Canis lupus familiaris: one gene and its partner. The protein of the gene in region 2 purifies or fractionates together with the protein of the main gene of each other region. This does not show direct contact. Links are inferred from orthologs where the notes say so. Each region holds a gene or a part of one and is shown on either strand. Other genes may lie near its edges. The genes, in order: ACAD9 and EYA2.

The links.
Region 1: the proteins of EYA2 (region 2) and ACAD9 purify together in Homo sapiens (affinity purification with mass spectrometry; 3 studies listed by BioGRID and IntAct, with this or other methods). This does not show direct contact. The link is inferred for Canis lupus familiaris from reciprocal best matches to the Homo sapiens genes EYA2 and ACAD9.

Annotation. Positions count from the first base shown.
Region 1 is NC_049241.1:3,178,765-3,194,097, reverse strand, and holds the end of ACAD9 (complex I assembly factor ACAD9, mitochondrial), read left to right. Parts: intron 1-4,623; coding exon 4,624-4,752; intron 4,753-6,710; coding exon 6,711-6,790; intron 6,791-7,496; coding exon 7,497-7,623; intron 7,624-7,816; coding exon 7,817-7,894; intron 7,895-8,371; coding exon 8,372-8,500; intron 8,501-8,514; exon of another isoform or gene 8,515-8,676; coding exon of another isoform or gene 8,677-8,739; intron 8,740-8,757; exon of another isoform or gene 8,758-9,116; coding exon 9,117-9,189; exon of another isoform or gene 9,190-9,644; coding exon of another isoform or gene 9,645-9,877; intron 9,878-10,104; coding exon 10,105-10,205; 3' UTR 10,206-10,657; downstream 10,658-15,333. Other genes in the region: CFAP92 (uncharacterized protein KIAA1257 homolog), read right to left, coding at 9,645-9,877, 12,807-12,951, 13,032-13,244, 13,787-13,951. UniProt on the Homo sapiens protein: As part of the MCIA complex, primarily participates in the assembly of the mitochondrial complex I and therefore plays a role in oxidative phosphorylation.
Region 2 is NC_049245.1:34,822,713-34,838,991, reverse strand, and holds part of EYA2 (eyes absent homolog 2), read right to left. Parts: intron 8,808-16,279; coding exon 8,740-8,807; intron 6,736-8,739; coding exon 6,558-6,735; intron 1-6,557. UniProt on the Homo sapiens protein: Functions both as protein phosphatase and as transcriptional coactivator for SIX1, and probably also for SIX2, SIX4 and SIX5.

The DNA of each region.
Region 1 (15,333 bases), on a different chromosome or scaffold from region 2:
TCGCCATTGAGAATGATATTTGCTGTGGGCTTTTCATAGATGGCTTTTAAGATGTCGAGGAATGTTCCCTCTATCCCTACACTCTGAAGAGTTTTGATCAGAAATGGATGCTGTATTTTGTCAAATGCTTTCTCTGCATCTAATGAGAGGATCCTATGGTTCTTGGTTTTTCTCTTGCTGATATGATGAATCACATTGATTGTTTTACGGGTGTTGAACCAGCCTTGTGTCCCAGGGATAAATCCTACTTGGTCATGGTGAATAATTTTTTTAATGTACTGTTGGATTCTATTGGCTAGTATCTTGTTGAGAATTTTTGCATCCATGTTCATCAGGTATATTGGTCTGTAATTCTCCTTTTTGGTGGGGTCTTTGTCTGGTTTTGGAATTAAGGTGATGCTGGCCTCATAGAACGAATTTGGAAGTACTCCATCTCTTTCTATCTTTCCAAACAGCTTTAGGAGAATAGGTATGGTTTCTTCTTTAAACGTTTGATAAAATTCCCCTGGGAAGCCATCTGGCCCTGGACTCTTGTGTCTTGGGAGGTTTTTGATGACTGCTTCAATTTCCTCCCTGGTTATTGGCCTGTTAAGGTTTTCTATTTCTTCCTGTTCCAGTTTTGGTAGTTTGTGGCTTTCCAGGAATGCGTCCATTTCTTCTAGATTGCCTAATTTATTGGCATATAGCTGTTCATAATATGTTTTTAAAATCGTTTGTATTTCCTTGGTGTTGGTAGTGATCTCTCCTTTCTCATTCATGATTTTATTAATTTGAGTCTTCTCTCTCTTCTTTTTAATAAGGCTGGCTAATGGTTTATCTATCTTATTAATTCTTTCAAAGAACCAACTCCTGGTTCTGTTGATCTGTTCCACAGTTCTTCTGGTCTCGATTTCATTGAGTTCTGCTCGAATCTTTATTAACTCCCTTCTTCTCTTGGGTGTAGGATCTATTTGCTGTTTTTTCTCTAGCTCCTTTATGTGTAAGGTTAGCTTTTGTATTTGAGTTCTTTCCAGTTTTTGAATGGATGCTTGTATTGCGATGTATTTCCCCCTTAGGACTGCTTTTGCTGCATCCCAAAGATTTTGAACGGTTGTATCTTCATTCTCATTAGTTTCCATGAATCTTTTTAATTCTTCCTTAATTTCCTGGTTGACCCTTTCATCTTTTAGCAGGATGGTCCTTAACCTCCACGTGTTTGAGGTCCTTCCAAACTTCTTGTTGTGATTTAGTTCTAATTTCAAGGCATTATGGTCTGAGAATATGCAGGGGACGATGCCAATCTTTTGGTATCGGTTCAGACCCAATTTGTGACCCAATATGTGGTCTATTCTGGAGAAAGTTCCATGTGCGCTTGAGAAGAATGTGTATTCAGTTGAGTTTGGACGTAAAGTTCTGTAGATATTTGTGAAATCCATCTGGTCCAGTGTATCATTTAAAGCTCTCGTTTCTTTGGAGATGTTGTGCTTAGAAGACCTATCGAGTATAGAAAGAGCTAGATTGAAGTCACCAACTATAAGTGTATTATTATCTAAGTATTTCTTCACTTTGGTTAATAATTGATTTATATATTTGGCAGCTCCCACATTCGGGGCATATATATTGAGGATTGTTAAGTCCTCTTGTTGAAAAGATCCTTTAAGTATGATATAGTGTCCCTCTTCATCTCTCACTACAGTCTTCGGGGTAAATTTTAGTTTATCTGATATAAGGATGGCTACCCCTGCTTTCTTTTGAGGACCATTCGAATGGTAAATGGTTCTCCAACCTTTTATTTTCAGGCTGTAGGTGTCCTTCTATCTAAAATGAGTCTCTTGTAGACAGCAAATAGATGGGTCCTGCTTTTTTATCCAGTCTGAAACCCTGCGCCTTTTGATGGGGTCATTAAGCCCGTTCACATTCAGAGTTACTATTGAGAGATATGAGTTTAGTGTCATCATGATATCTATTCAGTCCTTGTTTTTGTGGAATGTTCCACTGAACTTCTTCTTAAAGGGGAATTTTAAGAGTTCCCCTTAAAATTTCTTGCAGAGCTGTTTGGAGGTCACATATTCTTTCAGTTCCTGCCTGTCTTGGAAGCTCTTTATCTCTCCTTCCATTTTGAATGAGAGCCTTGCTGGATAAAGTATTCTTGGTTGCATGTTCTTCTCATTTAGGACCCTGAATATATCCTGCCAGCCCTTTCTGGCCTGCCAGGTCTCTGTGGAGAGGTCTGCTGTTACCCTATTACTCCTCCCCATAAAAGTCAGGGATTTCTTGTCTCTTGCTGCTTTAAGGATCTTCTCTTTATCTTTGGAATTTGCAAGCTTCACTATTAAATGTCGAGGTGTTGAACGGTTTTTATTGATTTTAGGGGGGGATCTCTCTATTTCCTGGATCTGAATGCCTGTTTCCCTTCCCAGATTAGGAAAGTTTTCAGCTAGAATTTGTTCAAATACATATTCTGGCCCTCTGGCCCTTTTGGCGCCCTCGGGAACACCAATTAAACGTAAGTTTTTCTTCCTCAGGCTGTCGTTTATTTCCCTTAATCTATCTTCATGGTCTTTTAATTGTTTGTCTCTTTTTTCCTCAGTTTCCCTCTTTGCTATCAACTTGTCTTCTATGTCACTCACTCGTTCTTCCACCTCGTTAACCCTGGTCGTTAGGACTTCTAGTTTGGATTGCATCTCATTCAATTGATTTTTAATTTCTGCCTGATGAGATCTAAATTCTGCAGTCATGAAGTCTCTTGAGTCCTTTATGCTTTTTTCTAGAGCCACCAGTAGCTGTATAATAGTGCTTCTGAATTGGCTTTCTGACAGTGAATTGTAATCCAGATTTTGTAACTCTGTGGGAGAGAGGACTGTTTCTGATTCTTTCTTTTGAGGTGAGGTTTTCCTTCTAGTCATTTTGCTCAGTGCAGAGTGGCCAAAAGCAAGTTTTATTGGGAAAAGGAGAAAAAGAGAGGACAGAAAGAAGGAAAGAAAAGAGAAAGAGAAAAAAAAGGAAGAAAAAAACGAAAAAAAAAGAAGAAAAAGAGAAAGAAAAAGAAAGAAAGGAGAAAAAAGGGGGGTGGGGGAAGGAAAGAAATCAAAAAGCAAAACAAAACAAAACAAAAAAAGAACCACGGGGGAGTATCTTCTGATTCTGTGTACTTTAAGTCCCTTGGCTTCTCCTGGAAGTTGTCTGTCTAGCTGGTCTTCTGGGGGAGGGGCCTGTTGTGCTGATTTTCAGGTGTTAGCAGTTGGGGGAGCTGCTGTGCCCCTGCCTGGTGCAGGGCTCAGTGGGGGGTTGTTTACCCCGTGAGGCCCCAGGAGCAACAGCCCTAGTGGCGGGGCCAGCTCTGCAGCCTTGGATTCAGCTCCGGCAAGAACTCCAGAGCTCTCCGTCTGCAGGGCCTGGAGGCTCCGGGGCGGGGCCGCTGCTCTGCTCAGCTCGGGCCAGGAGCGTCCTTGCGGTCCTGGGCCCTCCCGGCCTCTGCCTGTCCCGGGGGAGGCCGGATCCTGGGCTGTGTCCCGGCGCCCTGTGCTCCAGGGCCTGCGCTGTTGGATTCGCGCTCCCGGGCCGCACAGCCCCCTCTGCGGAGCTGCCGCCCGAGCCCCCCCAGCTGCTCCTGGAACCGCGCAGCCCCCTCCGCACGGAGCCTCTTCCTCTGCCCGAGCCCCTCCGAGCTGCTCCTGGGGCCGCGCAGCCCCCTCCGCGGAGCCGCCGCCCGAGCCCCTCCGCGCTGCTCCGGGTCCCGCCGGGTCCCACCATGCGCGCTGCAGCCCTTAGGGAGCTCGGCGCACTCTCCTGGGTGCGCAGTTGCTCTGTTACTGTCCCAGGGAAGCCGAGGGCATCCTCGCCCTTCTGGGTCCTGCTCCAACTCCCCGCGATACCCTTTCCGCCCGGGAAGGTCGGTGTAGCTCCTGCTTCTCCGGGACGGGGCTCTCCTGTCCTGGGGACACTCGCCCCGGTCTCAGCCCGGCTCCTCGCGGGGCCTCTCCCCCTTGGAGGCCTTTGTTTCTTTATTTCTTTTTTCCCGTCTTCCTACCTTGATAGAAGCGCAAACTCTTCTCACTCTAGCATTCCAGGTGTTCTCTCTTTAATTCTTAGGCCAAATTCATAGATTTTCAGGATAATTTGAAGGTTTTCTAGGTAATTTGGTGGAGACAGGTGATTTGGAGACCCTGCTCTTCCGCCATCTTGCCCCTCCCTCCAGCTTTCCACTTTTATGTGTCACCTGCAGGCACATGTTGGGCCAAGCAGCTCACTTACATGTGGAGAAGCAAGCTGCAGGTGAACGGGGCTAGGTGGACAGGGTCAGGCCTCCTGGAGAGGGAATCTGAAGTGGGTTTCAAAAGGACAGGAGTTTCCTCAGTGTAGAAGGTGTGGAGTGGGATCTTGCATCCCAGGGAAGCCTCAGAGATAGGAGGAGTCACGGTGGGTGGGGAGCCACAGCTGGTCAGTTAGGTCCAGAGAGAAAAGGACTTGTCCGAGGCCACCCAGTGAGACTGGCTGGGCTGGTCTTATCCTAGAGCCAGGTTCTCCATGTCAAGCTGCCTGTTCCATCCCCAGCCACTCTGCCCTGGCTGAGGCCCCCTCCCCCTCGTGGAAGGGACTTGGCCCTGTCACCCCTGTGCTTACCGTGTCCTGGCTCCATGGCAGGTGTTCAGCTCGGAGGGTGCCTGGCAGTGCGTGAGTGAGGCACTGCAGGTCCTCGGGGGCTCAGGCTACATGAGGGATTACCCATATGAGCGCTTGCTACGTGACAGCCGCATCCTGCTCATCTTCGAGGTGAGTGCCCGCCGCCCTGCCAACCCCCACACCCCCCCCCCCAAGTAGTCTCATTTGTCCCTCCTCATGCCTCTGCGTGGCCCCATTCTCCAGGGGTGGAGGTGAGGCTGAGGGGCCAAGCGAGCGCCCTTTTTGCTGAGCCTGTCCCTTCAGTTGTCTGTGGTGGGACAAACAGAGATCTCACGGGAGGCCCAGTTGTGCCTCCAGGGCTCACTCTGGGTTTGCCTTTCCTCCCCAGAGTACAGGCACCTCAGCAGGGTCCTCTCCATGGACTTTCCCAGCCCTGACACCTCCCTAATTGCTGCCCCCTCCATGGGCTCACAAGCCAAAAGAGGGAATTCTGTGAGTGGGGAGACCCCAGGTGGGATAACAAAGGGGGATGAGGAGCTCGTGGCCTGACTGACCAGGGTAGACTACGGAACACCAGTGCAGGGAGGGCCTGAGCTGCATCTCTCCCTCAGTGGGCTAGTGTCTCAGGAAGCCAGTGCACTTGGCCTTTGAGGACAGAAATGACTTTGGCCTGGCCAAGGGGAAGGTGGTTTGAGCCAAGGATAGGGAGATGGAACATGCTACCCCCAGATAGGGCATGCACTGAGTAGGATAAGCATATCTTTGTGGGAGCAGTGGATGGTCCTGGTAGGGGCGGAGCTGGGGCAGGTGGTAGAAAAGTTGGTGGGGTGGGGGCAGAGGGTAGATGAGAAGGGGAGCCAAGTAGCTAGGCTCGGGGGGCCCTTGGCCAGTAGGCAGAAGAGTTTGGATCTTACTGTGCAGGCACTGGAGGCCATTAGAGGTTTCTTTTTTTTTTTTTTTCATTAGAGGTTTCTGAGTAGGAAAGGACTTGAATGCATTCCCATTCTGGGAATTTCCCTGGGGCTGACGTGGGAGTTGCAGATGTGAGACCAGAGGCCAGGTGCACACAGTAGGAGAGAGGGCCGTGCAGAGAGAGGGATGGAATTAGGATGGCTGTAGGGTGTGCAGGAGGCAAGCCCAGAGATGAGACTTGGAGCCTGAGCATCCTGTGTGGTTTCTCAAGGGCGCTTTTGGATGCCCGGCTCCCAGGCTCCCCAACCCAGGGAAAGGCCTCATAGCTGCTAGTTCTCGCCATGCCCCCCACATGCCAGCCCTATGGTCTCCTTCCTTGGAGGACAGACAGGATGTGGCCAGCCTGAGGGTCCAGGGGCACTTTCCCAAGGGCTGCCCCCAGGACTGCTGCTTCCAAGGCCCCTTCCCCTTGACCTGGTTGAATTTGCTCCTATGTGACTAGATGGGGCAGCAGCTTTGAGGGCTGCAGAGTCCTCAGAGTGAGGCAGATGGTCCCATCTGGAGACTATGCAGGACTGGGCACACCTTGACTTGCAGTCCTCCCAGGGGTGTCTTCCTGTCCGTGGCCAGGCTGGCTGCAGGGCTCAGTGTCCAGTACTGGCTTTGTGACCCATGGCCCACCTCCCTGAAATAATCCCAAGGAGATTGGGAGGGGAACAGTGTGCACAGCAGCAGGGAAGAGGTGGCCCTCTGGGTACTGATACCCCGTACTGGGGGCAGCCAGCTCTCGTCCTTAGAGATCAGTGGCTCCCCTGAGGAACCTGGGAGCACTTGCTGCGTCCTGGGCATCGGCATCCCTCCCCTCAGGGAAAGGAGTTTCTCCCATTAATTATAAAGAAACCAAATTGGAGGCTTGGAAAAAGTGACTCCGTTATGTTTGGTCCTAGAAAGGTGGTAGATCCTGAGGGAGTCCCCGGTTGTCTGGTCGGCAACCTGCTCATCCCTGTGAAGGTGGGGCTAGCGTGTTGCCCTCACCCTCAGGTCACAGCCCTGCTCCCTTGCGAGGCTACTTCCAAAGCGGCAGCCTCCGTGGCACTGGCAAGCGGGCAGTGGGGTGGCCTACCCAGTTACACGCACAGCACAAACCAGCGCCATCCTAGTGGAGCCAACTTTAACCTCCATACTCCTGGCCACAGGGAACCAACGAGATTCTCCGGATGTACATTGCCCTGACAGGTCTGCAGCATGCTGGCCGCATCCTGACCACAAGGATCAAGTAGGTGCCAGCCCCACTGTCTGCTCCTCGGGCCCCATCCTGGGATAGACATCAGAATGGGGGTCATGGAGCCGTGCAGTGCTCAGCTCAGTCATAGGCTGGCTAGAGGGAAAGAAGGGGACAGGAGCCCTGAAAGCCAGACTGCAGAGCTTGGCCTTCACCTACAAGTGATAGGAGGTGCCAGCTGCCTCAGGAAGCCCTCATTGCCCTCCTCCCCTGGCAGTTTCTATCTCCCATGCTGCAGGGAGCTTTGTTTTCAGAGCCTAGGGATTGAGAGCTATCCCTCAGACAGGCACTGGGCTCCCAGACTAACATGAGACCACTTTCTTCACTCTTTCTCTTGCTCCTCTTAACCCCCATCATGGGGCTAGAACAACTAGAAATCACTGCTGGAGTCTGGTGTGAGTTGCTGAGAGCATCTTGCAGACTCCTTTACCCCAGAGCACCACCTGGGGGCTAGTTGTGACTGCTTCTTGTAGAGAGGCTCTGTGTGCTCTGCCTCAGAGACTGGCTGGGAGGTCTCAGGCATCCAGCAGGCCCAGGCTAGGGTAGAGCAGCATGTAGGGCCTGAGTTGTCCCTTTATTGTCTTGGATCACCAGAGGGAACCAGGTACCTGTAGCTCTGGGGTGCCAAGGGGGACCCTATTGCTCAACAGTGGGAACCAGCAGTGAGGCCTGAGTTCACGGGGCTGTGGGCTTTCTGCAGTGAGCTTAAACGGGGCAATGTGACCACTGTCATCGAGACTGTCAGCCAGAGGCTTCGAGACTCCCTGAGCCGAACCGTGGACCTGGGGTTGACAGGGAAGCTGGGAGCTGTGCACCCCAGTGTCGCAGTGAGTGGGCACACCTGGCATACCCCCCATGTGGGTGCCCTCCTGGTGGGTATCCTCGTCCAGAGGGCTGTGACCAGGGCATCTGGGAGGATGGCCCAGCCTGGTGGGCAGAGCCTGGGCCCCAGAGCCCTGGGCTGGGTGAGATGGGTACCGTGGGGAGTGGCACCAAGCAGTCTCTCCTCTGGCATACTAGGACAGCGCCAACAAGCTCGAGGAGAATGTGTATTACTTTGGCCGCACCGTGGAGACGTTGCTTCTCCGCTTTGGCAAGGTACCTGGGCCCCTGCCAGATCTGGGGATGGCAGGCCCTCCAGCTTGGGAGCCAGGGAGAATGGGGCATTTTATCTTTGGGACCAAGCCTAGAAAGAAAGCTTGGTCACCATGGATGGGTGGGGCTCTCTGTCCCAGGGGGCACTTGGGTAGATGTCCTTGGAGTAGGGAGGGGAGCCCAAATCTAGGGCCCTGATCTGTGAGGCTGCTGCTGCTCAGGCTGACATGAAGCACAGTAACCAGCAGCATGTGGTCTCAGCCAGGTTTCTGGGACCTGGTCTTGGCCTGATCCATGCCCAAATCTAGATAGAAGGGAAAACAAGGCGGCCAGTGAGCCAGCCTCCCACAACCCAAAGGGAGAGGCAGTGTTAACCCCCTTCTACTGAGGCATGAAGTGAGTCTTGGAGATGGCTGAAGATGGGCCCGGGGAGGGAGGTTCCTGGGTTGCATGTCTCCACCCTGGGCTCTGTGTTGGCAGACCATCGTGGAGGAGCAGATGGTCCTGAAGCGGGTAGCCAACATCCTTATCAACCTGTATGGCATGACAGCCGTGCTGTCGCGGGCCAGCCGTTCCATCCGAGTGGGGCTTCGAAACCACGACCATGAGGTAATAAGCCCTTGCCAGCTTTATCCTCTGCACTTTAATGAGGCCTGTGGTTGGGGAAGGGGGTCAGTGGATGGCAACGCTCAGTCAGGAGCAAGGGACTGGGCAAGTCAGGGCTTTGGTCCAGTGGTGGTCCCAGGAGGCTGGCAAGTTTGCTGAGCTGTGGCCAGTACCGGTGGTCAGCTCCAATGCGAAGATCTGTGCTGCTCAGGACATGGGGCCACTCCCTTTTGTTTTTCTATCTGAGGAAAAAAGAGTAAGTGATGGGGTCCCAAACCTTGTGCCTTCACCGCATCTGCCTTCCTTACCCTGCCTGAGGGGCCAGATGCAGTCACTAAGCACCTGCTGTGTGCTGGGTCTTTATTGTCCCTCAGTAGCCTCTGGGCACTAGCATTATGATGGCCTTCCTGCCATAGAGGAGACTGAGGCCCAGAGGTGTTGAGTAATTTGCTCTTGGGGACAGAGCTATTTGGGTCAGAGCTGGAATTAGAACCTAAGACTGACCCCCAAGCCAGGCCTTTTGACCCGAGCCAAGCTGCTTAGTTTGGCTGAGTTCTTGAAACACACACACCAGGGAAGGGATGCCCTATGTCATCCTCTTCAATCTTGGTTCTGACAGGTTCTGCTGGCCAACATCTTCTGTGCAGAAGCTTATTACCAGAATCTCTTCACCCTGTCCCAGCTGGACAAATGTAAGTAGGGTGGCCTTGGGAGGGAAGGTGGGCCTGAGTCCAGGTGACTGTTGATGGCCAGGCTCCCAGGGTCTGCTGGCTACTCACAAACCTCTCCCTTGAGTGAGGGCTGCTAAGGTCAGGTTCACCTGCAGCAGGGCCTGCCAGCTAGGAGCATATACCTGCAGGTGAAGACTGTCAGAGCCTCCCAGGGTGTGGCCCAGCATGCCTGGCCACCTAGCAGCCACCCAGTGATGTTCCACAAAGAAGGGAAGCATTTTATCTGCCTCTTTACCCCCTGCACTCCAGCTAAAATAAACCTGCCCTTCTAGCAGGTGTCTCAGGCTTTGGCCCTACCCTGTGCAGGGGCTTGGCACATAGGGCTGTTTGTCTAGAATGCTCCTCTACCGTAGCCACATGGCTATGTCTGAGAGGACCTGGCTCAGATTCCTCTGACCCTTACAGTCATTTCAGCCTCAAGGCTCCATGTTCTGTGTCCCCTGCTGTAGAGCCCAGCCCTGTTGCCAAGAGATGGAGGAGAGGCCATCATGGCACCTGCTGAGAAGAGGAGTACATGATTGTGTGCAGCTTCTGGCTCTGGGTGCTGGCATCTGTGTTCCATTCTGTGGTGGGAGACATGGTTTCTCTTGTAAAGGCTTGACTGGCAGAGGATCCTTCTCCAGCCCCTGTTCCCACAAGATCCAGAGTTCTGAGGGATCAACAAGATGAGCCCTTTGTTTTTCAGGATGAAGCCCCATCCCTCTTTTTCCCTACAGCCAGAATCACACTTCCTGAGGGTTTGGAGGAGGAAAGTTAGCTTCAGGGCTCCTTCACAGTGGGTGGGCTACTTTGTTTATTTAAAAAAAAAAAAAAAAAAAAGCCACACCCCAGCAGTATTTCTTTTCTCACAAACCTATTAATATTTTTTGCTTTCAGATTCTCCAGAAAATCTAGATGAGCAGATTAAGAAAGTGTCCCAGCAGGTCCTAGAAAAGCAAGCCTACATCTGTGCCCACCCTCTGGACAGGACGTCCTGAAGCAAATGGACAGTGTTCCCTACTGCCCCGAGGCCACAACCCATCGCTGGTCAGCTCTTTCTCCGGGAGGTGGAGCACTTGGAATTTTTACAAGTGGAAATGTTTTTTCCCAGTATAGACCAGAAGGACTTTCTCCTGGCCTGGGGGCGGAGCTTCTTTAGGCTTTGCCCTGCTGGCACTGCCACTTGACCTGATCCCAGGTGCTGAAGAGACAGGAGAGAGAATGCAGTTGGTGACACCTGGGAGCTGAGGGGCTTCTGCTAGTTTAGGAGACATACAGTGGCAACGGGCTTGTGCTGCTGCCTTTGCGTCAGGAGGTTGGTGGGGACCTGTTGCAGGCATGGATAGCTACTTCTGCAAGACCAGCTGTGTTCATAGAACAAATGCACTTAACCTGTGTACTGGGAACCATCTGACAACAAATATAAAATGCTTTACCCTTTTAGCCCTCACGCTGTATACTGAGCATGTTTTTCCTCAGAGCCGAGTTTCCCCCTTTGGTGATGGTGAGGGGTGGGTGCCCAGCCCAGACCACAGTACCCTAGGGATTTTTAAGGCCCTGTCTCTGGTCTTTTTTATGGTCTGATACATGATAACACATGTTTTTTCCTGCCTGGGGCCTTTCTCTCTGCTGTCTGTAGAGAGGTTGGCCTCTACTCCTGAAGAGGGGGGCAAAAAGGAATCTTAAGGCATGACTAGACCTTTGCATTAGTCTAGGCTCCTTTCTGCTGCTGTTTCCCCACACTGGGTCACAGCATGCTCACACTGGCAAGCTTTGAGGTTTCTTCTGGTTCTAGGTGGTTTGGGGCTCCAGAAAACCACACTACAGATGTCACCCTGAGGTGGGAAGAGAAGACAAGGCTCCTCTTTCCTTTCTTTTTTTTTTTTTTTTTTTTTTTTAAGATTTATTTATTCATGAGAGACACAGAGAGAGAGGCAGAGACATAGACAGAGGGAGAAGCAGGCTCCATGCAGGGAGCCTGATGCGGGACTCGATCCTGGATCCCAGGATCACGACCTGGGCCGAAGGCAGGTGCCCAACTGCTGAGCCACCCAGGCGTCCCTCCTTTCTTTTCAAGTACAAGTCAGTCTGCTATGCAAACACTGGGCTGGCCTGAGCCCTCTGCCAGGGATTGGATAACTAATCTTCAAAAGGTAAAACTTGACAAATCTTACGGCACTGGAGCTAAGTTACCAGTGAAACCTTAAAGGTCTTCGGGTGTTTTGTTGGCAAGGGGAGTACTAATCTGGTTCAATGCCAGCGACCAGAGGCTGCACAGAAGGTCTTTGCCAGGGAAGCTTGGGAAGCAGCTGTCCAGACCCCGTGCCCCCGGGACCTCCATTCAGGAAAGGGGGCTTCACTGTAGTCCCTGCAGTATGGACGCCCCTGTCGGCGGCTGGTTCTGTCTTCACTCGGCTGAGTTTCAAAGGCTGGGACCCCTGGTTCAAATCTCCCTTTCCCCCCTACCATTTCCAAGTTTTCTTTAAACATGGTGGGGAGGAGAGGCCTCAGTGTGCATCTGTGCCCAGGGAATGTGTGCTGGGAAGGCCTGCAGTGGAGTTCAGTGGCAGCAGTCGGGCCAAGGAGGTAAGCCTGGCATTGCTGGTCTGGTCTGTACCAACAGGACTGACCACGCAGCCCCAGAGCCTGGAGCTTGTTCTGAAGGGAAGGCAGCAGGGGCCAGACAGAAGGGAGACAAATTTCAGCAGCTTGTTGGCACTTCCTCTTGTTTCATGGAGCAGTTACCAGCTGCCTTCGAGGGTTAGAGAAGGAAAGAAATCCATTTTGTTTATCTGGTCTAGCTTTCTGAGAAAGGTTTCTCTGGCAAACCTTGTCACTAGGTAAACTTTCTCCCTGAACCAAGGTTCTGGCAACCAACAGATTTTGGTTCTCTGAGAACGTACAAATGATCTGGAGGCCCATCTTTATAAACAGAAGGATGAGAGGGACTCATGCTTCTAAACTCCCTCCTTCCCACACACAGTGGGAGATGGCAACATCTTGGAGCAGGAATGGAGTCAGAAGGTCCCAGAGGTGGCCAGAGCCTCTGCCCCCAGCTGCTGGCCGGGCATCTAGACCTGGGTAATGCGTGTTGGGGTGCAGACAGCCCTTAGACCTGTCTCCCAACTTACAAGTTTGATAGCTAAGAAACCGGGCCTAGCGGGGCCACCTAAGTGGCTCAATTGGTTAAGCAGCCAGCTCTTGATTTTTGGCTTAGGTCAGGATCTCAGGGTCTTAGGATCAAGCCCTGCAGGTTATGCTCCTCACTCAGCAAGGAGTCTACTTGAGGATTCTCTTCCTCTCCCACTGCCCATCTCCAAACTCGTGCATACTATAAGATAAGCTGGTACGGAGCAGGGACCAGGAACAGTGAAGGGACTTGTCCAACATCACCCACAGCGAATTAGTATCACAGCTGGAGCTAGAATCCAGGGCTCTTGAGTTCCAGCCTAGCACATTAATGCCAGACCCATTCTGACTCTGGACTTCCTAGCTTAGAAAGTTAGGACAGCTAAAACAAAAAGGGTACTGCCAAAGATGCAAAGCAGCAGAGGTCCTGACTGCCCACATCAGGAGGCTGAGCCTTGCAGAGGTCTTACCTGTTACAGGCTTAGGTGCTGGAGGACGGGGCAGCTCAAGGAAAAGTGGTGGCTGCTTATACAGGTCAAAGTCCTGGTGGCGCTGGTCCCAGCTCCACCTCTCTCGATCCAGCACACTAGCAGGCTGTGCATTTTCCCTCCGCTCCTACGTCGAGAACAACACAGTAAGTTAGGATGGAGGGCCCTGTAGACACCCCACTGGAGGCCCCTCTCCACCCTGTGGACCTCATTCAGCTCTGGATCAGTGCCAATGGGCGGCAGCCTGAGGTGATGGTCGCATTCAGTGGTTCTGTGAAGACCAGTCAGTTGGAATCCATTGGCTGTGAGCCAGGCCTGGCGGGATTTCTTCCTGGCTTTCTTCTCCTCTTCCTCTGAGTCCTGAGGCTCCACCATGGCTGAGAGGTAATTCTGGGAGTATGTGAATCTCTTCCTTGGCTCCTGGAAACAAGGGGCAGACACGAGGATAGAAGGGCTGGTAGCAGATGTGGAAGGGGCTGACTAGCCCTCCCATCTCCAGGCAAGCATTAGAAATGGTGGCACCGTTCCTGACAATGTAAAGGACCATTCAGAATAACAACTGTGAGGGTCACGTTCACATTCTCTTTGACAGAGCAACCCTTTTCTAAAGCTACCATGTTGGAAGCCTAAGCCAGGGCTTTTCCTTCATGGTGACAACAGAATGCTTTCTAAGGGGGTTTGCAGCCAGGCACACATGAGCATATGTTGAGGATCTGTTGGCTCACCCTTATGTGTGGAGGATCCCTACATAGTGCGGGAACAGAACATGTCTCCCCCAGCACCTGATGCCTGTCTATTTCCTCCCATTGGTTGGCTTTCTTATGCACACCAGAGATCCCTTGCTGATCTCTAGGCAGTATAGTCAAAAAAGGAGAGAGCTCACTGGATTAGCCAATTACTATTTTTCTGTCTGGAGTTACAAGCATTGACGGCCCGCCTCCCTCTCTGGGCCTCCCATTCACCTTGGCCATCTCTCGATACAGCTCCTTCTTAGCAAGCTCTGTGGAATTCAGGGACTGGATACTGTAGTTATAAACCGCATCTTTGGTAGGGGCTGAAATTCTGATCACCTTCACCACAGATTTTGGAGGCTTCTTACTAACCTGGTAGGCTCTAGTAATATTTTTCTGTGGAAAGAGACACCAATCATTATAGTCCCCTCAATACCAGCTTCCAGCGTGTAGTGAGCAAGATGATCTGTGGGACCAGGCCACAGCGCACATACCAAGTCCTGAATACTAGAGCTGCCATTCAATCACAGAACGCTACCAGAGGGCCACCTGCTCTAACCCCTCGCTGTCCATGGTGGAACTCAGGACCATGATGCGATTTGCCTAAGGTTAAAGTAACTGGAACACAAGAGCCAGCCACAGATAGAATTTGAGGCTCAGGTGGTCAGAAGTGGGAGAAGCTTGAAGCTTTCATGCATATACAGGGTAGATTATGACCTAAAGCAGCAAGGACTACCATCCTTGCCCATGGTCACCTTTAAGTGCTGACTACATAGGGAGTGTCAACCTTCTCTCCAGAGCCCCCAAGATGGTCTGACAGCTAGCTTCTTTGTGGATGAAAGCTGCGGTGTTGCAGGGAGAAGTGGCTGGGACCCCGAAAAGAAAGTTGCACTCTATTGCGGTGTAGCTTGCCCACCACTTGTCTATTAACTTTCAGCAAAATCACCATCTTCTGTTTTGAAACAAAAAGTTTTATTTTTTTTAAAGATTTTATTTATTTATACATGAGAGACACAGAGAGGCAGAGACACAAGCAGAGGGAGAACAGGCTCCATGCAGGGAGCCCAACGTGGGACTCGATCCCAGGTCCCCAGGATCACGCCCTGGCCACCTGGGCTGCCCAAAACAAAAATTTTTAAAGCTGAAGATAGTGACCTTGACTCACATTAACCACTTATTTAGGCCAAGCCCCAGTGTCTTGGCTTTGGAGTCTGAGGGATTTCTGTAAGAGAGAATGCAAAATAATCAAGGGAAAGTTAAATCTGTGATTCACACAAAAGTGTGAAAAATCAAGGCAACAAGATCCCCATGGCTTGAAGCAACAGGGACTTAAGACAAAGGCTGGTCACATTCATTGCATGAGGGACAAAACACCTGTCTTTGAGCACCTTCAAGATGACTGTGCCAGAGGGGCCATCTAAGCGCGACTGACGTCCAAGTGGTGCACACCTAGCTTCAATCAGAGCACTGGGTATTCTCTCCAGTTTTTCTGGTGGTTCTCAGTGGGAGGGTTGGTCGGAATGAGTCAGTCTCCTTCACAAAAGTGCAAGTTCCCTGCTCCTTCTAAACCTTACTAGTGGATTACAGCCTTGGGAAAAAAGTGGAAGTTCTGCCCAAAAGACATCACATGGTGAGGTGAGAACAGTGGTCAACAGTTGTTCAGGACATCTGGGGTTCTCTGCCCTGGGGCTGAAGGCTGCAGGGAACTCTGGACTGACAGCCAAAGTAACTAGGTGCCTGAGACATAGAACCAGTTACAAAAGACCCCAGACACAAAC
Region 2 (16,279 bases):
GGTCATTTAAGCACCTGAATCTTGGTTTCAGCTCAGGTTGTGATCTTGGGGTCTTGAAATCAAGCCCCACCTCTGGGTCTGTGCTTAGCACAGAGTTTGCTTAAATTTTTCTTTCCCTCTGCCTTTTCTGACTGTACTCTCTCCCTCTCAAATAAATCTTTTTTTTAAAAAACTATCCTATTTCCTATTGCTTATTGTTACTATATTAAAATACAATTGATTTTTATACATTCACTTAGTACTCTGCAACATTGCTAAGCTCACTTTTTAGTTTCAGCATTTTAATAAATTCTATCTAATTTTCTACATAGGTGATCATGTCATTTTACTTCTTTTCCCATGTGGAGGCTTTAAATTATTTTTCTTGCCTTACTGTACTGGCTAGAATCTCCAATACAATGGTGAATAGAATTGGTAAGAGTATACATCTTTGTCTTGCTTCTGATCTTGGGGAGTAGCTGTAGGTTTTTTGAAGCTATCCTATTTTAGTCAGCTTGGGCTGCTATGACAAAAATGTCACAGACTGGGTGGCTTAAATAACAAAGATTTATTTTCCACATTTCTGGAGTCTGGGAAGTCCAAGATCAAGGCATTGGCCAATTTTATTGCTAGTCAGAGTCTTCCTCCTGGTTTTCAGATGGATGCCTTCTTGCTATATGCAGACACAGTAGAGAGAGAGATATATTAACTCTGATATGTCTCTTCTTATAATTGCACTAACCCCATTTATGAGGGCTCCACCGTCATTACCTAATTACTTCCCAAAGACTCCACCTCCAAATACCAACACATTGGGGATTAGGACTTCAACATGTGAATCTGGAGGAGGACACAAACATTCAGTCTATAACATGTCTTTTTCTAATAAAGAAAGTTCCCTTCTATTCCTAATTTGGAATTTTTATCAGGGACAGATGATAAATCTTGTCAAATATTTTCTATGCATCTATTTAGATGAACTTTTCCTTCCCTTTCCAGTTAGTTAATATGGCAAATAACATTGATTTTCAAATTTTAAACCACCTTTGCTTCCTGGGGATAAATCACACTTGGTCATTATATATTATTCTTCTTTCATATATTGTTGGACTTGATTTGTTAACATTTTGTTTAGAAGTGTTTTATCTATGTTGATGAGGGATATTGGTCTATAGTTTTCTTTTCTTTTTTTAAAAAATATTTTTATTTAGTTAGTTGAGAGAGAGGGGACTAGCATGAGTGGGGGTAGGGACAGAGGTGAGGGAGAAGCAGACTCCCCACTGAGCAGGGAGCCTGATGTAGGGCTCATCCCAGGATCCTGTGATCATGATCTGAGCCAAAGGCATACACCTTTTTTTAAAAAAAGATTTTATTTATTCATGAAACACAGAGAGAGAGGCAGAGACATAGGCAGAGGCAGAAGCAGGCTCTCTGTAGGTAGCCTGATGCAGGACTCGATTCCTGAGCCCTGGGATCATGACCTGAGCTGAAGGCAGATGTTCAACTACTGAGCCACCCAGGTGTCCCCAAAGGCAGACACTTAACTGACGGAGCCACTCAGGTGCCCCTGGTTTCCTTTTCTTATAATGCCTTTGTCTAGTTTTGGCATCAGGGTCATGCTGGCTTCATAGAATGAGTTGGGAAGTATTCTTTCCTCTTCAATTTTCTTCAAAATTTTGTGTAGGATTGATAGTTCTTAACTTAAATGTTTGGTAGTCTTAATCAGCGAGGCCATCAGGGCCTGGTGATTTCTTTGAAGGAAGATTTCTGACAAAAAATTCAATTTATTTAATAGATATAGGCCTATTAAAGCTATAGATCTATTTAGGTTGGCATGATGTTTGTAAAATTGCATCATTATCTCTTTAATATCTGTAGTATCTGTAGTGATGTCATCACTTTCATTCTATTGGTAATTTACATCTTTTCTCTTTTTCCTGTATCAGCCTATCTAGAGTTTTATCAGTTTTATTTATCTTCTCAAAGAATCAGCTTTTGGTTTCACTGATTTTCTCTCTTTTTTTCTGTTTTCAGATTTCATTGATTTGCATTTTGGTCTTTATTGTTCCCTTTCTTCTTCTTACTTTGAGTGTATTTTGCTCCTCTTTTTCTAGTTTCTAAAGCAGAATAGGAGGTGTTTGGCTTGAAATTTCTCCTCTTTTCTAACATAGACACTTGTGCTATAAATTTCCTCTTATGTACTGCTTTAGTGATGTTCTACGAATTTTGACATGTTATGTTTCATTTTCATTAAGTTCAAAATACTTTAAAATTTTCTTGTTTTTTTTTCTTTGACTCATGGGGTATTAGTCAGGGTTCTCCCAAGAAACAGAACCAACAGGATGCATGTAAATATATATATAAGAGGAGGTTTATTATAGGAATTGGCTCATGCAGTTAGAGGTCAGGAAGTCCCACAATCTGCTTTTTGCAAGCTGGAAAACCAGGAAATCTGGTGATATAATTCAGTCTGAGGCTGAAGGCCTGAGAACTTGGGGTAGGGGAAGTCTGGAGGGTTCGGGCCCCACTGGTACAAGTCCTGGAATCCAAAGGCCTGAGAATCAGGAGCTCTAATGTCTGTCCAATTATCTTTTTAGATAATCTGCATCATACTGAAAAGTCTGAAAAGAAAAAAGCCCTTAAGGAACCACTACTAATTTGTTTTTTTCTCTTGAGTGAAGTATGTTCAGATTTTGTCCTCTACTTCAGCAAATTGCCCTGCAATCATCTGTAAATTGCTGGAACTTTGTATGTTAATGCATATCAATGCAGACTGGGCAGAGGGCTGGGGTGAAGAGCATCAGGATACTGTAACCAGGCAATGCAGAGTATGAGCATGATCTATCGGTAATATATAAACCTCTTGAGGCTCTGGAATTTGGAACCAACCACTCAAGGAGATCCTGGATAATTTCAAAAGTAGAGTTTTTATGGGAAATTTTGAGAGAGAGAGAGAGAGAGTGTGTGTGTGTGTGCGTGCGCTTGCGCACATGTGCACACATGCATGCTTACATGCCCTTCCTTTATAACAGACACCGGGGAAAAGAGTCAAGAGACCTCAGTTACAGCTGACAACTATTTATGTCATTAGATTTTATGTGAGCTTGTTAGACACACAGTAAAAACCATCTCAACCACTTATTGTTGAACCTTAGACCAAGCGATAAATGAAGAACAGGGGGAAACAATAAAGAAACGTTTCAAAGAGATACAATGAACCTTTATGTTTGCTCTTGATGGGGAACAAAGATAACCTTCCTAAATACCCCAAATTCTTAGGAAGTAAGTCTTTGGAATCCAGTTCCAAATTATACATAGACAGTGGCAACTACTTCAGGATTTCCTGCTTATATCTCCTTTCTGCAACCAAGTGGAGCAGCCACACTCTGAAAAGCAGGATGGTCAAAGATAATTTAGAATTATGACAAAGAAAAGTTTGTTAAATTTCACACCCTTCAAAGAAAGCAATTTGGAAGTTGTTACCTAGATACTACGCATTCATTGAGTATTGCAATGAAATCACAATGACCAAAATCAATGCTCAAGCCCTAAACTTCCTTAAAAATTGACTTAAAAAGGACAACTGGGTGGCTCAGTATGTTAAGCATCTGACTCCTGATCTCAGCTCAAGTCTTGATATCAGGGTCATGAATTCAAGCCCTGCACTGGGCTCCGCTCTCGACACGGAGCTTTCTTAAACAAACAAACAAACAAACAAACAAGCCCACCATGGACTTAAAAATGCCTGGCCATGTTGTCTCCGTTTGTCACCAAACCAAGGATAATTAACTTGTCCCAGTGATGGAAAATTTAAAGGCTAAAAGCAACAGCTGTACCAAGAACCTCAGGAACAAAAGAAGTTAGTTTCCGCTACTGTTCTTTTTCTAACCATTAGCCAGTATTTATTGAATCAATGTCCATACACTCTCATGTTAGCTTAACTTCTACAAGCCCCAGTTTTTCAGAACCCACTGAAAAGAAAAGAGAAAAAAATGCAATGGTATCTCCTTTACATTGGGCATTCTAAATCATTGCTGTCATGTCAATTAATGATAATATATCTAAACCATGTCATAAAAGAGAAGCCATGTGCATAGCAGATCTTTGGAAGGAATGAATGAATTCATAGGCTGGTGAGTTAGTTGCATAGGGATGTACATCACCCAGGGGCCAGGACGTGGGCTCCCCCACATGTTACTCTTTTTTTTTTAAGATTTTATTTATTTACTTGAGAGAGAGAGAGAGAGAGAGAGAACAAAAACGGAGCAGGTCAAAAAGAGATAGAGAAGCAGACTCCCCACTGAGCAGGGAGCCTGACTTGAGGCTTTCAACCCAGGACCCTGGGATGATGACGTGAGCTGAAGGCAGATGGTCAACCAACTGAGCCACCCAGGCACCCCACCACATGTTACTCTTTAATTTAGGTGGGTGCCATTGGTTGTGGATACCTGTACTTTGGCCCATCATCTCTTCTGTCTTCCCCTGGGTAGTGTGCTCTGGGTTTTTTTTTTTGGAAACCACCTCTCCCTCTCCCTCATATGGTCTGGGTGGAGATGACCCAACTCTAGCTCTCGCTGTGGTCATAAGACCCAGGTCTGTTGCCCCATCTCAGCATTCCAACCACTGCCACAGAGACTGGTGTGAGGACAGGTATGTGACCTAAGCTGGGCCAACAGAAGTGTTACCTGGGACCTCTGCAGGGGCTGTTTGGAAGGAGGAACTCTCTCTGAGGGGTAGATAGGAAGGCAGAACTGAATCCTGAAGTGGCTGGTGACCATCTTTGCCACCATAATGGGAGAGCCTGCTTGAGAGTGAAATGGACACAGGAAAATGCAGAGCCAGAGGAAGAAAGAGACTAAGTCCAAAAATTATCATCTGAACCCCTGGACCCAGCCTTGAATTACTATATATCTTGATTGCATATGTTTAAAATTTCCTTTTTTGGGGAGGGTTCTGGATGGCTCAATTGGTTGAGTGTCTGACTCTTGGTCTCAGCTCAGGTCATGATCTCAAGGTGGTGAGATCAAACTCTGTGTTGGGCTCCACTCAGCAGGAAGACTGCTTGAGATTTTCTCTCCCTCTACCCTTCCTCCCACTCATGTGCATGCTCTTTCTCTCTAAAATAAATAAATCTAAAAAAAAAAAAACATTTTTTTTTTGCTTAACTAGTTTGAATTGTATCTTCTATCTTTCGAAGCCAAAAAATCCTGGCCAATAAAAGGAATTCCTAAAGCTGTTCTGCTATGGAAAAATACATGTGTGAGGATTTTTTAAAAAGATTCAATTCTTGATGAGAGAACCAAGGTTTGATGGCCACTGACCTTCTGTTCTCAAATGGGTTTTAGATAAATAATCTCAGCTATTTGTGGCTACTGAATATCCAGGAGCCCTGGTTATGGAGCCCAAGAGGCCTGGGTTCAAATCCCAATTCCACCAATTACTACCAAGTTACTTATCCTCCGATCTTCATTGTTCTTACCTGGAAAAAAGGGGGTAACTGAAAACCAGATTTTGTGAGGATTGTGACTTTCCTTATCATAGTTTGAAATTCTGTATTTATGTGATTATTTGATTCCTGTCTGTAAGAATCAAGTCTATGTTGCACTTTATTTCCTGCTTGGAAAACAGCAGGTGCTTTAAAATTTTTGTTGAATCAATATATAAATAAGTGAAATGAGAAGACCACATAGATAAGTGCTTGGCACATCGCAGATGGGTAGCAAATATTAGTTTCCCTTCTTTGAGGACTGGGGCTCATCAATCCCAGGGCACACAAGCGCCAGGCAGGTAATGAACCTGAAGTATGTTGGCCAGATATGGAATCGTGTGTGCCTTGTCTGAATGGGGCACATATTACTCAGCCAGCCAAGGGTTGTCACTTATGAATGTAGACCTAAGTGACCAGGTTCAGATTTTCTTTCAAGAGAAGACCAGATCTATTTTCAAGAGAACGCAGAAATTAGAATTTTTTTTTGAAATTAGAATTTTTAGGTAAAAATTTTAAACATGGGGGCACCTGGGTGGCTCAGTGGTTGGGAGTCTGCCTTTGGCTTAGGTCGTGATCCCAGGGTCCTGGGACTGAGTCCCATATCAGTCTTCTGATTCTTCTTCTCCCTCTGCCTATGTCTCTGCTTTTCTCTCTGTGTCTCTCTTGGATAAATAAATAAAATATATTTTTTAAAGACTTTATTTATTTATTCATGAGAGACACACACACAGAGAGAGAGAGAGAGAGAGGCAGAGACACAGGCAGAGGGAGAAGCAGGCTCCATGCAGGGAGCCTGATGCGGGACTCGATCCTGGAACTCCAGGATCATGCCCTGGGCTGAAGGCAGGCACTAAACTGCTGAGCCACCCAGGGATCTCCTAAATAAATAAAATCTTTAAAAAACATTTTAAACATGGGCACAATTAAAGGCGCACACACATACACGGAAAGGCCAACAAAACATATTTGAGGGCTGGATTTAGCTCTTGGGTAACCAGTTCATTACAACTGGGACCTCTGTCCAGTCCATCCTTCCTACAAGAGCTCAGGTCTCAGCCACCAATAACCACGAGACAGTGACCATACTTACCGCCAAGCAACTCAGAACTCTGGTTGGGGACACTGTGAGATGCCTCCTGGAGGACGTAGGTGGATGTGGAGAGGGGAGACGGGCAGATGCTGCTGGCTGGGACGTAAGGAGGGCTGTAGGATGAGCTGTAATACTGGGAATACTGGCTCTGAGGGAAGCCGGGGTAGGAAGTATAGTCCTAGAAAGGGAGACACACAAGGCGCTGAGTGAGGAAGGCTGTCTGGGTGGGGGCTGTCCTGCAGCCCAGTCATAGGCTGACGATGGCAGAGGGTCTTGTGAGGTGGGTCTGCTGTCTATCTCCATCTCTCTCACTAGAATAAAGCTCCATCAGGGATAGGGACTCTCCCCACATGCAGATCCCAAGACAAGGATGCAAGTGCAAGTATTCGGGAGGTGAAGGAGACACCAGGTGGGGGATGGGGAAGTGAGACTGCAAAGGGAAGAAGCAAGAGCAGCCAATCTGAGGGCTTCTAAGTGGGGACTGGAGGGAATTCCCCGGGGAAACACTGGGATGGTATAAAACATACCCTCAGAATGATGTCTCCTAGTGGCAAGGGAGCTGGGGTTGTTCATATACCAACTCCAGCCAGTCTTTGATTGAGAGCTGCTCCCTGGGCTCTTCATTCCCTGGCACTTGCCTCCTGCCCTATGCTCTGATTCTAGGGAAAACCCTCAGCCCGGGGATACAGAGGTTGCAATCTGGAAGTCAGGGGATGTGGCTGTCAATGTCTGTTTTGATCGCTATTGTATCCCTAGCATCTGAAATCGTGCTGGACACAGAGGGGAACCCAACAAATACTAGAGAGGGGCACCTGGGTGGCTCAGTGGTTGAGCGTCTGCCTTTGGCTCAGGTCATGATTGTGGGGTCCTGGGATCGAGTCCTGCATCAGTCTCCCTGCAAGGAGCCTGCCTCTTCCTCTGCCTGTTTCTTTGCCTCTCTCTGTGTCTCTTATGAATAAATAAATAAAATCTTATAAAAAATAAATACTAGATAAATCAACGAACCAATGAATGAGTGATAGAGACCTCATACGCACAGACCCAGGAGACTAGGTGACATATTAAGTTCATGAGGGGTACAAGTACAGCAGCACCTACACAGCACTAGAGATCCAGAATCTTCTATGGGGAAATCTCAGAGATCAAATCAAGGAATGCCAATCCCTTTTTTTTTTTTTAATCAAGCTTTGCTTAAACCAGCCACATACTCCAGCTGTCCCATGATAGTCATTGTTCCAAATACTCTGTCCCACCATCATCATAAACCAGTGCTTCTCAACCCTGCAAGGACTCACAGAATTTCAGCTTCCTGGTCACTGCCCCGGCCCTAGAGAACTATAATTTCTGGGGGTGGCATTTAGGGAAATCTCTGCTTTTGACAAGCTCCTATTGGTGAAATGGGCAGAGCGAGGAACCACACCTTAAAAGGAACTGCTGTATTTACGAGTATTTTATCCAGGTCCACAGTATACTGGAAATTATACGGAAATACAGAAACAATCTTCCAAGATTTAAATCACTTAGATTCTTTAGCTCACTGAAGAAGAAACAGTGAATTCCTCATATTTAAATGTGTTAAATACGCCACCCACTCTGTGGTAGTTTTGTTTTAATGTTAGCCTGAAAGCATGTTCACCTTTTGTTCTGAAATAATTTTAGACTTCATAGAAGAGGTGCACAAATAGGACAGAGTTCCCATGCTCTCATTCTTAATTTGCTCTCTAAGTGAAAGCAAGACAATCAAACCATCTTTACAGGGTTGACCTGGTGTCATTTAACAAGCATTTATAAAGCCCCCGCTGTGTGCTGGGCCCTCGGCACTGGAATGCAGAGGTGAAGATGATGGATTCTCATGCTTGAGAAGGTCACGGCTGGTGAGCGAGCACACGCATTTGCATTCATACATTCTAGATTCAACAGTCAATGGGTGTCTTGGGCTCAGGTCAAGACATAATCTGTGATATCGCCTATGTCACCTTGGAAACCCGCCAGTAATTTCAATTTCTCTGCCTCTACACTGTTTCTTTCTGATGGCCTTTTGCACAGTCGGACTCCTATGGTCTCTAAACCCAGGGAATAAGAGACAGCATTTCTGCGGGGGGTGTGGGCGGGAGTGGGCTCTCAGGGTGTCCTGATTTAGGGAAAGAACAGGGAAAACAGGTGATGGGGGAGTGACACCTACCTGGTGCACACTTCCGAATCCGGCTGCGTTGGTCAGGCCATTTGCTCCTTGGTAGATCCCTGCTGTGCCTGCAGGAAGGAGGGACAGGTACAGATGAGGTTTCTTACAGTCGGAGAGGGATGAGGAGGAGAAAGATTCGGCAGACAGGTGGGCTCTGAGGACTGACAGGCTGGAACAGGAGGCAACCTGAGACCCTGGCAAGCTGCCAAATCTCTCTGAGCCTCAGTTCTGTCAATTGATGAATGAAATAAGTAACTCCTTCATCAAAGGATTGTGCTGAGCAATAAATGAGACAGTGCATACAATACAGGTTCTGGTTCTCAATGATCATGTTTAAAAAATATTTATTTAAAACATTGTGGTAAATGTACATGACATAAAACTTTACCATTTTAACTATTTCTAAGTGTACAGTATAGTGGCATTTGGTATATTCACATTGTTCTGCAACCTTCACCGCCGTCCATGCCCAGAGTTTTTTTCATCTTGAAAAACTAAGGTCGTGTCCCCATTAAATGATACCTCCCCATTCCTCCCCTTCCTCCACCCCCAGCACCCACCCTTCTCCTGTCTTTATGATCCTACTACTCTAGGATCCTTGAATAACTGGAATCATGTAGCATCTGACTTTTGGGACTAGCTTATTTTATTTAGCATCATGTCTCCAAGGTTCGTCCATGTTGTGGCACGTGCCGGAATTTCCTTCCTTTTTAAAGCTGAGTGACATTCCATTGTACTGTATACCATATTTTGTTTATAATTCTTCTGTTGGTGGGCACTTGGATTGCTTCCATTTTTTGGCTGCCGTGAATAATGCTATGAACATGTGGGTACAAATGCCTCTTTTGGGAGAAGCCTCGAACACTGTTACTAGGAATGCAAGCTGGTGCAGCCACTCTGGAAAACAGTATGAAGGTGCTTCAAAAAGTTGATAATAGAGCTACCCTATGACCCAGTAAGTGTGCTACTGGGTATTTACCCCAAAAATACAAATGTAGTGATCCCAAGGAGCACCTGCACCCCAATGTTTATGGCAGCGATATATATATATATATTACTCAGCCATCAAAAAATGAAATCTTGCCATTTGTAATGACATCGATGGAACTAAGTGAAATAAGTCAATCAGAGAAAGATAATTATCATATGATTTCACTCATATGTGGAATTTAAGAAACAAAACAGAGGATAGTAGGGGAAGAGAGGGAAAATAGAAGAAGACGAAATCAGAGAGGGAGACAGACCATAAGGGACTCTTTACCATAGAAAACACACTGAGGGTTCCTGGAGGGGAGGAGGGGGGGATGGGGTAACTGGGTGATGGACATTAAGGAGGGCATGGAATGTAATGAGCACTGGGTGTTAGATAAGACTGATGAATCACAGGCCTCTACCTCTGAAACCAATAATCCATAATATGTTAATTAATTGAATGCAGATTAAAAAAGAACAATTATAAAAATCCCCAAAACTCCACAATGCCTCTTTCAGATCCTGATTTCAATTTTTTTTAGGTTTACACCCAGAAGCAGAATTACTAGATCATAGGAAAATTTGCTTTTTAATTTTTTGAGGAACTACCATACTGTCGTCCATAGTGGTTCCATCATTTTACATTCCCTTGAACACAGCACAGGGTTCCAAATTCTCCACATGCTCATCAACCCACTCACTCACTCTTCCTTCCTTCCTTCTTTCCTTCCTCTTTCTCTCTCTTCCTTTTCTCCTTTTTCTTTCTCTCTCTCTTCCTTTCTTTTTTTGAACGTAGCTATTCTAAGGGGTGCATGGTGGTAAATAAATAAACCAAATGGTAGTAAGCTGAATAAATGCACAAAAGGACTTTTGCTCCTGAACATCAGTTGCCCCATCTATAAAATGGCAATAAAAATGATACTTCTATTACTACTAGAAAACGCTATTTAGTGAATGAATAAGTAAGTGGTGAATGGGGTGTCATTTAAAACAAGGTGGTCGGGACACCTGGGTGGCTCAGCAGTTGAGTGCCTGCCTTTGGCCCAGGGCGTGATCCTAGAGTCCCCGGATCGAGTCCCACATTGGGCTCCCTGCATGGAGCCTGCTTCTCTCTGCCTGTGTCTCTGCCTCTCTCTGGATCTCTCATGAATGAATAAATAAATAAATAAAATCTTAAAAAAAAATACGACAAGGTGGTCAGGCAAGGCCTCTCTGAGAGGACACTGGAGCCAAGACATGCCAGCGTTGGACACAGCCTGGGGGACGAGTGTTCACGAACACTGGGTGCAACAAATCCTAACACAGAGATTCGCTTGGCAGGTAAGAGAAAGAGAGGAAAGTCCAGTGAGGCAGGAGCCCAGAAGGGGAAGAGGGTGGCTACAGGAATGACAATGGTGAACTTGCGTGTGTCGGGTGCTATTCTGAGCTTTTCCTGGACAAAGTGAGGCACAGAAAATTTAAGTGACGTGCCCAAGGCAGCACAGAGAGTGGGTGACAGCTGTTGGGGCTGGCCCTAGACAGTCTGACTTGAGTTTTCCATACCCCTCTATGCTGCTATTGCTGATGCTTTTTCAAACTGCTTTTCTGGGGGGATATAGCTTATATACTATAAAATTCCTCTCTGGGGCAGCTGGATGAGTTTTAAAGTAATTGATACAACTGTGCACCTGTTACCACAATGCAGTTTTAGAACATTTCCATCATCCCCAAAATTCCCTTACGCCCCTCTGCCATCAACCCCCATCTCCAGCATCAGGTAGCCACAGATCTACTGCTGATTCTAGAGTTTTGCCTTTTCTAGACGTTTCTGAGCGGTGTGAATGCACCACATCCAGTTGGGACTATTCCAGATAAAGAGTTGCATATAGTTGTATGCAGTAAACATTTGCATACGAGTCCTTGTGTGGATATATGTTTTCATTCCCCACGGGCAGATCCCAAGGCGTAGGACTGTGGAATAGTGTGACAAGAGTATGTTTTACTTTTTTTGTTTTTGTTTTTGAGTATGTTTTACTTTTTAAAGAGATGGTCAAAGGGTCTTCCAAAGTGGCTGTGTCATTTCACATACCTACTAACAGTGTGAGACTTCTGATTTCTTTAGCACTTGGTAATTTCAGTCTTTTTGATCATAGCCACTCTAGTAGGTGTAGAGTAGTACTATTTCCTTGTGGTTTTAGGCATTTGTCCAATGACTAATCATGTTGGGAATCTTTTCATGTGCTTATCAGCCATTTATGTATCTTTTTAGAAAAAGACCTATTCAAGTCTTTAGCCCATTAAACAAGAAAGTTAGGTATGTCTTCTTAAAACTTAGTTGTAAGAGTTCCTTATATATTCCGGACACAAGTCCTTTATCTGATACCAATATGCAAATATTACCTCCAAGTCTATAGCTTATCTTTTCATTTTCTTAATGGTGTCTTTTGAAGAGCAGAACCTTTTTTAAAAAAATCAAAATCCTCCTTACGGATCTTGCTTTTACTGCTTCACCCAAGGTCAGATTATTTCCTATGTTTTCATCCAGAAATTTCATAGTTTTAGCTCTAGGATCAAATGTAAGTTAATTTTGCGTGTATGGTGTGAGGTAAGGGTCTAGATGAATCTTTTGCATATGAATATCTAGTTGTTCCAGCACCACTATAGAAAGTTTATCCTTTGCCTCACTGAATTACTTGGTACCTTTGCCAGAAATTAATTGATGATTAATGTGAAATCTTCTTTCTGGACTCTGTTCCACTGATATATCTGGAATATATCTATATACCATTTCCATCCTGACCTGATTACTGCAGCTTTATTGTAAGTTCTGAAATCAGGTAGCATGAGTTCTCCAATTTTGTTCTTCTTTTTCAAGATTGTTTTGGCTTCTATGTATAAACTTGGTATTTACATTTCAACTTTAGAATAAGCTTGTTGATTTCTGTTGGCCACAAGGAAGAGGCACGACATTTTTCAACCCAGAATCCTACATCCAGAGAAAATATCCTTCAGGAATGAAGGGAAAATGAAGACACTCTCAAATGAAGGAAAACTAAGAAAATCTGTCACAGCAAACTCTGAAAAGATGGGGACAGGAAGTTCTTGAAACAGAGTTTAAAGAAGACTCCCGGAACATCAGAAAAGAAGAAAAAAAAAGAAAAAAGTAAAAATATGGGTAAATAAAGTCTCTCTGTATAGTAATGCCAATCAACTCAATATGCTGTTAGGTTTATAAAAGTTTGCTATCAAATTTTAGGAATTTTTTCAAATGTGTTTTATAATTATATAAACTATTTAAATGGCTCCAGAGTCAAATCTACAGAATAAACTATACCCATATCCAGGGGTAAGAAGGATATGTGCTGGGCACTGGGAAGGGTTCTGTAATGCCCGCTGGGGAGAGGTGGGGCCAAGGAAGGCTTCCTGGAAGAAGTGAAACCTAAAGTAATCTCTGAAGAATGAGTTAGAGCCAGCCAGGTGAAGAGAAGAACCAGGAACATAGCCACACCTGGGCGTCCTCTCTTGTTCTCTCCCTTACATGGAGTCTTGTCCAAGGACCAGAAACCATGGAATTTGTCCATAATCATGTGGCACACTGAGATCCCATTCTGTCCTCAATGGCCTGTCCAGACAGGTCCACAGAAGGTCCAGGCTAGCCTCTCCATTGCAAATAATTTTTTTGGGTCATGGTTACCATGGTGACTCTACCCGCTAAAGCTTAGGAACACACCTGCCCTAGGAAGACTCCTGCCTGCAGTGTTTTCTGTTCTGATTTCTCTTTTCTTTTGTGTCAACCTTCTGAATGACAACTTAGGGCAGGTTTGAAAACAAATAGGCCACAGTCTCTTCTCTAGGTATTCTTTCTCCCAAACAGCCTCTTGTTTGTTTTTGTTTTGTGACCCAGGGGCATCTGAAGAATGGACAGCTGAACAAACTGCAGTGTGCCGAGGGCAGTCCCAGAGCCCCTGCAGGGAGAAATCCATCCCATGCCTTAGAGGACCCCCAGAGAATGGGGGAGTGTGGCCCCAGAAATCTTGTGCCACAATATGTGGTCTCTGGAGGGCTTTCCAAATGGACCACCGTGAGCTGGAATGTTAAACACCGAGTTCTTGCCTCCATCTGGCTGGTGGAGTGCCCACGGGAGGGTGGGGGAAGGCAAGGGTGAGATGAGGAAAACAGGTCCTGCTAGGGGTCCCCCAATATCCATGCACCCCTATTGTCTTGTGTCAACAGAATCTCTGCTCTTAGGCTGGGCACATGCCTTATTAGAATAAATACTACCTTTCCCAGCTTCCCTTGTGGATGGTGTGGCTGTGTGAGGAGTTCTAGACAAGGGGAGGGTAATAAATTAAAGTGTGCAATTTCCTGATTATGCCCTTTCCCTGCAAAATTGGGTCACATTGGATCCCACGGCTGAGCATCAAGATATAAGGAGCTTGCACCTCTGCCACATTTGCAGACCAGAACCACCATATCAGCAAAACAATGTTCAAGTGACTATTCATCCATTGATTCAACCGTACATTTCCTAGCGAAATGTATGACCATGTCAGGTGCTGTTGTGGATATGGAGGGGAGTAAAGGATTGATGATTAATTCAGGGAGAAGACAGAACACAATCTAGTAGATAGATCCTTGGAAGGTTAAGATAATTTCAGATCAGGGGATCCCTGGGTGGCTCAGCGGCTTGGCGCCTGCCTTTGGCCCAGGGCGCAATCCTGGAGTCCTGGGATCGAGTCCCGCATCGGGCTCCCAGCATGGAGCCTGCTTCTCCCCTGCCTGTGTCTCTGCCTCTCTCTCTCTCTCTATTTATCATGAATAAATAAATAAATAAATAAATAAATAAATAAATAAATATTTAAAAAAAGATAATTCCAGATCAAAATGCAGTGATGCATTAGCACAGCACTCCTGAACTGTGTTTTGTGGACTAGAACCTGCCCACAGACTGTTCTTGATAAGGTGAGTATAGAAATTGAGAGATGGCGTATGGGAATGTCTCCTGTCTGCTGAATCTGAGACTAGAAAATCAGGACTTGTAATCTGTGTGTCTTTTAAAAAGTAGCATTGTTTCTCAATGTTTTTCTTTTCATGATTGCCTCATCCTTTTTGATATTTTTCCTCTACTTATTACTTCTATCAAATTCTAATATTATAGGCAATTGCATATCTGTTTAGGTATTCATGTATATTTGTGCTTAATAAAAAAGAGTGAGATGTTTTTGTCCCCACTCTGAGGATCATTTTTTGCTCCCTTTGGGTGATATTACCCACAAACAGAATGTAAGTTTAGAGATTCGTTTTTATTGTATTTTACACTAAATGAAGGAAAACCCCCTGGTCCTTCACCACAGTGAACACATAAAGTCCTAGGTGGTACAGCACCTGGAGGGGGGCCTTGGTGCCAAGCAAATATATCCTTGGCATTGCATGATATTACATACAGCGACTTGTTCAATGCTGCTGACCCCCCCACTCCCCGAGGTAGTTAGAGTCATGTGGTTTACAGAAACGTGGTGTTACGAAAGTTCCATGGCTTGTCCAATGGTGTCTGAGCTATGGCTGACTGGGTTGGGCATAAAAAACCAAAACCTAGGCAGCCCCCGTGGCTTAGCGGTTTAGCGCCACCTTCAGCCCAGGGCTGAAGATTCTGGATACCCGGGATCGAGTCCCATGTCAGGCTCCCTGCATGGAGCCTGCTTCTCCCTCTGCCTCTCTCTCTCTCTCTGTCTGTCTGTCTCTCTCTCTCTGTCTCTAATAAATAAATGAAATCTTAAAAAAGTCCTCACAAAATGGAAAATAACAAGTGTTGGTGAGGATGTGGAAAAACTGGAAACCTGGCACATGGCGGGTAGGAGCGTAAGATACACAGCCCCGTGGAAGAGGATTTGCTGATTCCTCACAAAGGGACACACAGAATTACGATATGACCCAGCAATTCCCCATCTGGGGACATACCCCAAAGAGTTGAAAATAGATATTCAAACAAAAACCTGTACACAAATGTTCCTAGCAGCACTATTCACAATAGCCAAAAGGCAGACCATGCCGAATGTCCTATCAGCTAATAAATGGCTAAAAGAATGTGGCCAATCCATATGATGGAACATTATTCAGCTGTAAAAAGGAATGGAGTCTTGATGCATGCTCCATGTGGATGAGCGTTCGGAAACACTGTTAGTGAAAAAGAGCTAGACATCAAAGATCACATACTACCTGATTTCCTATTTATAGGAGAGGTCCCAAATAGGCCAATCCACAGAGACGGAAGTAGACTAAGGGCTGCTGGGGGCAGGGATGAATTAGGAGTGACAGCTTCATGGGTGAAGAACTTGGGGTCCCTTTGGGGTGAGAAGAACATCTTGGAATTGGACAGGAGTGGTGGTCGCACAACACTGTGAATGCACTAAATGCCGCAAAATGGTTACTATATATTATGCGAATTTGATCTCCATTAAAAATAAAACAAAGCTGCTGCTTCTACTGCCTCCCAGCACCAGCCACAGCCGGTCTCCCAGGCAAGAGTAAAGGAAGGGTATGGGGAGGCCCAGAAAGTTCAGGACCCCTCCCTCTGACACACTCCTAGATG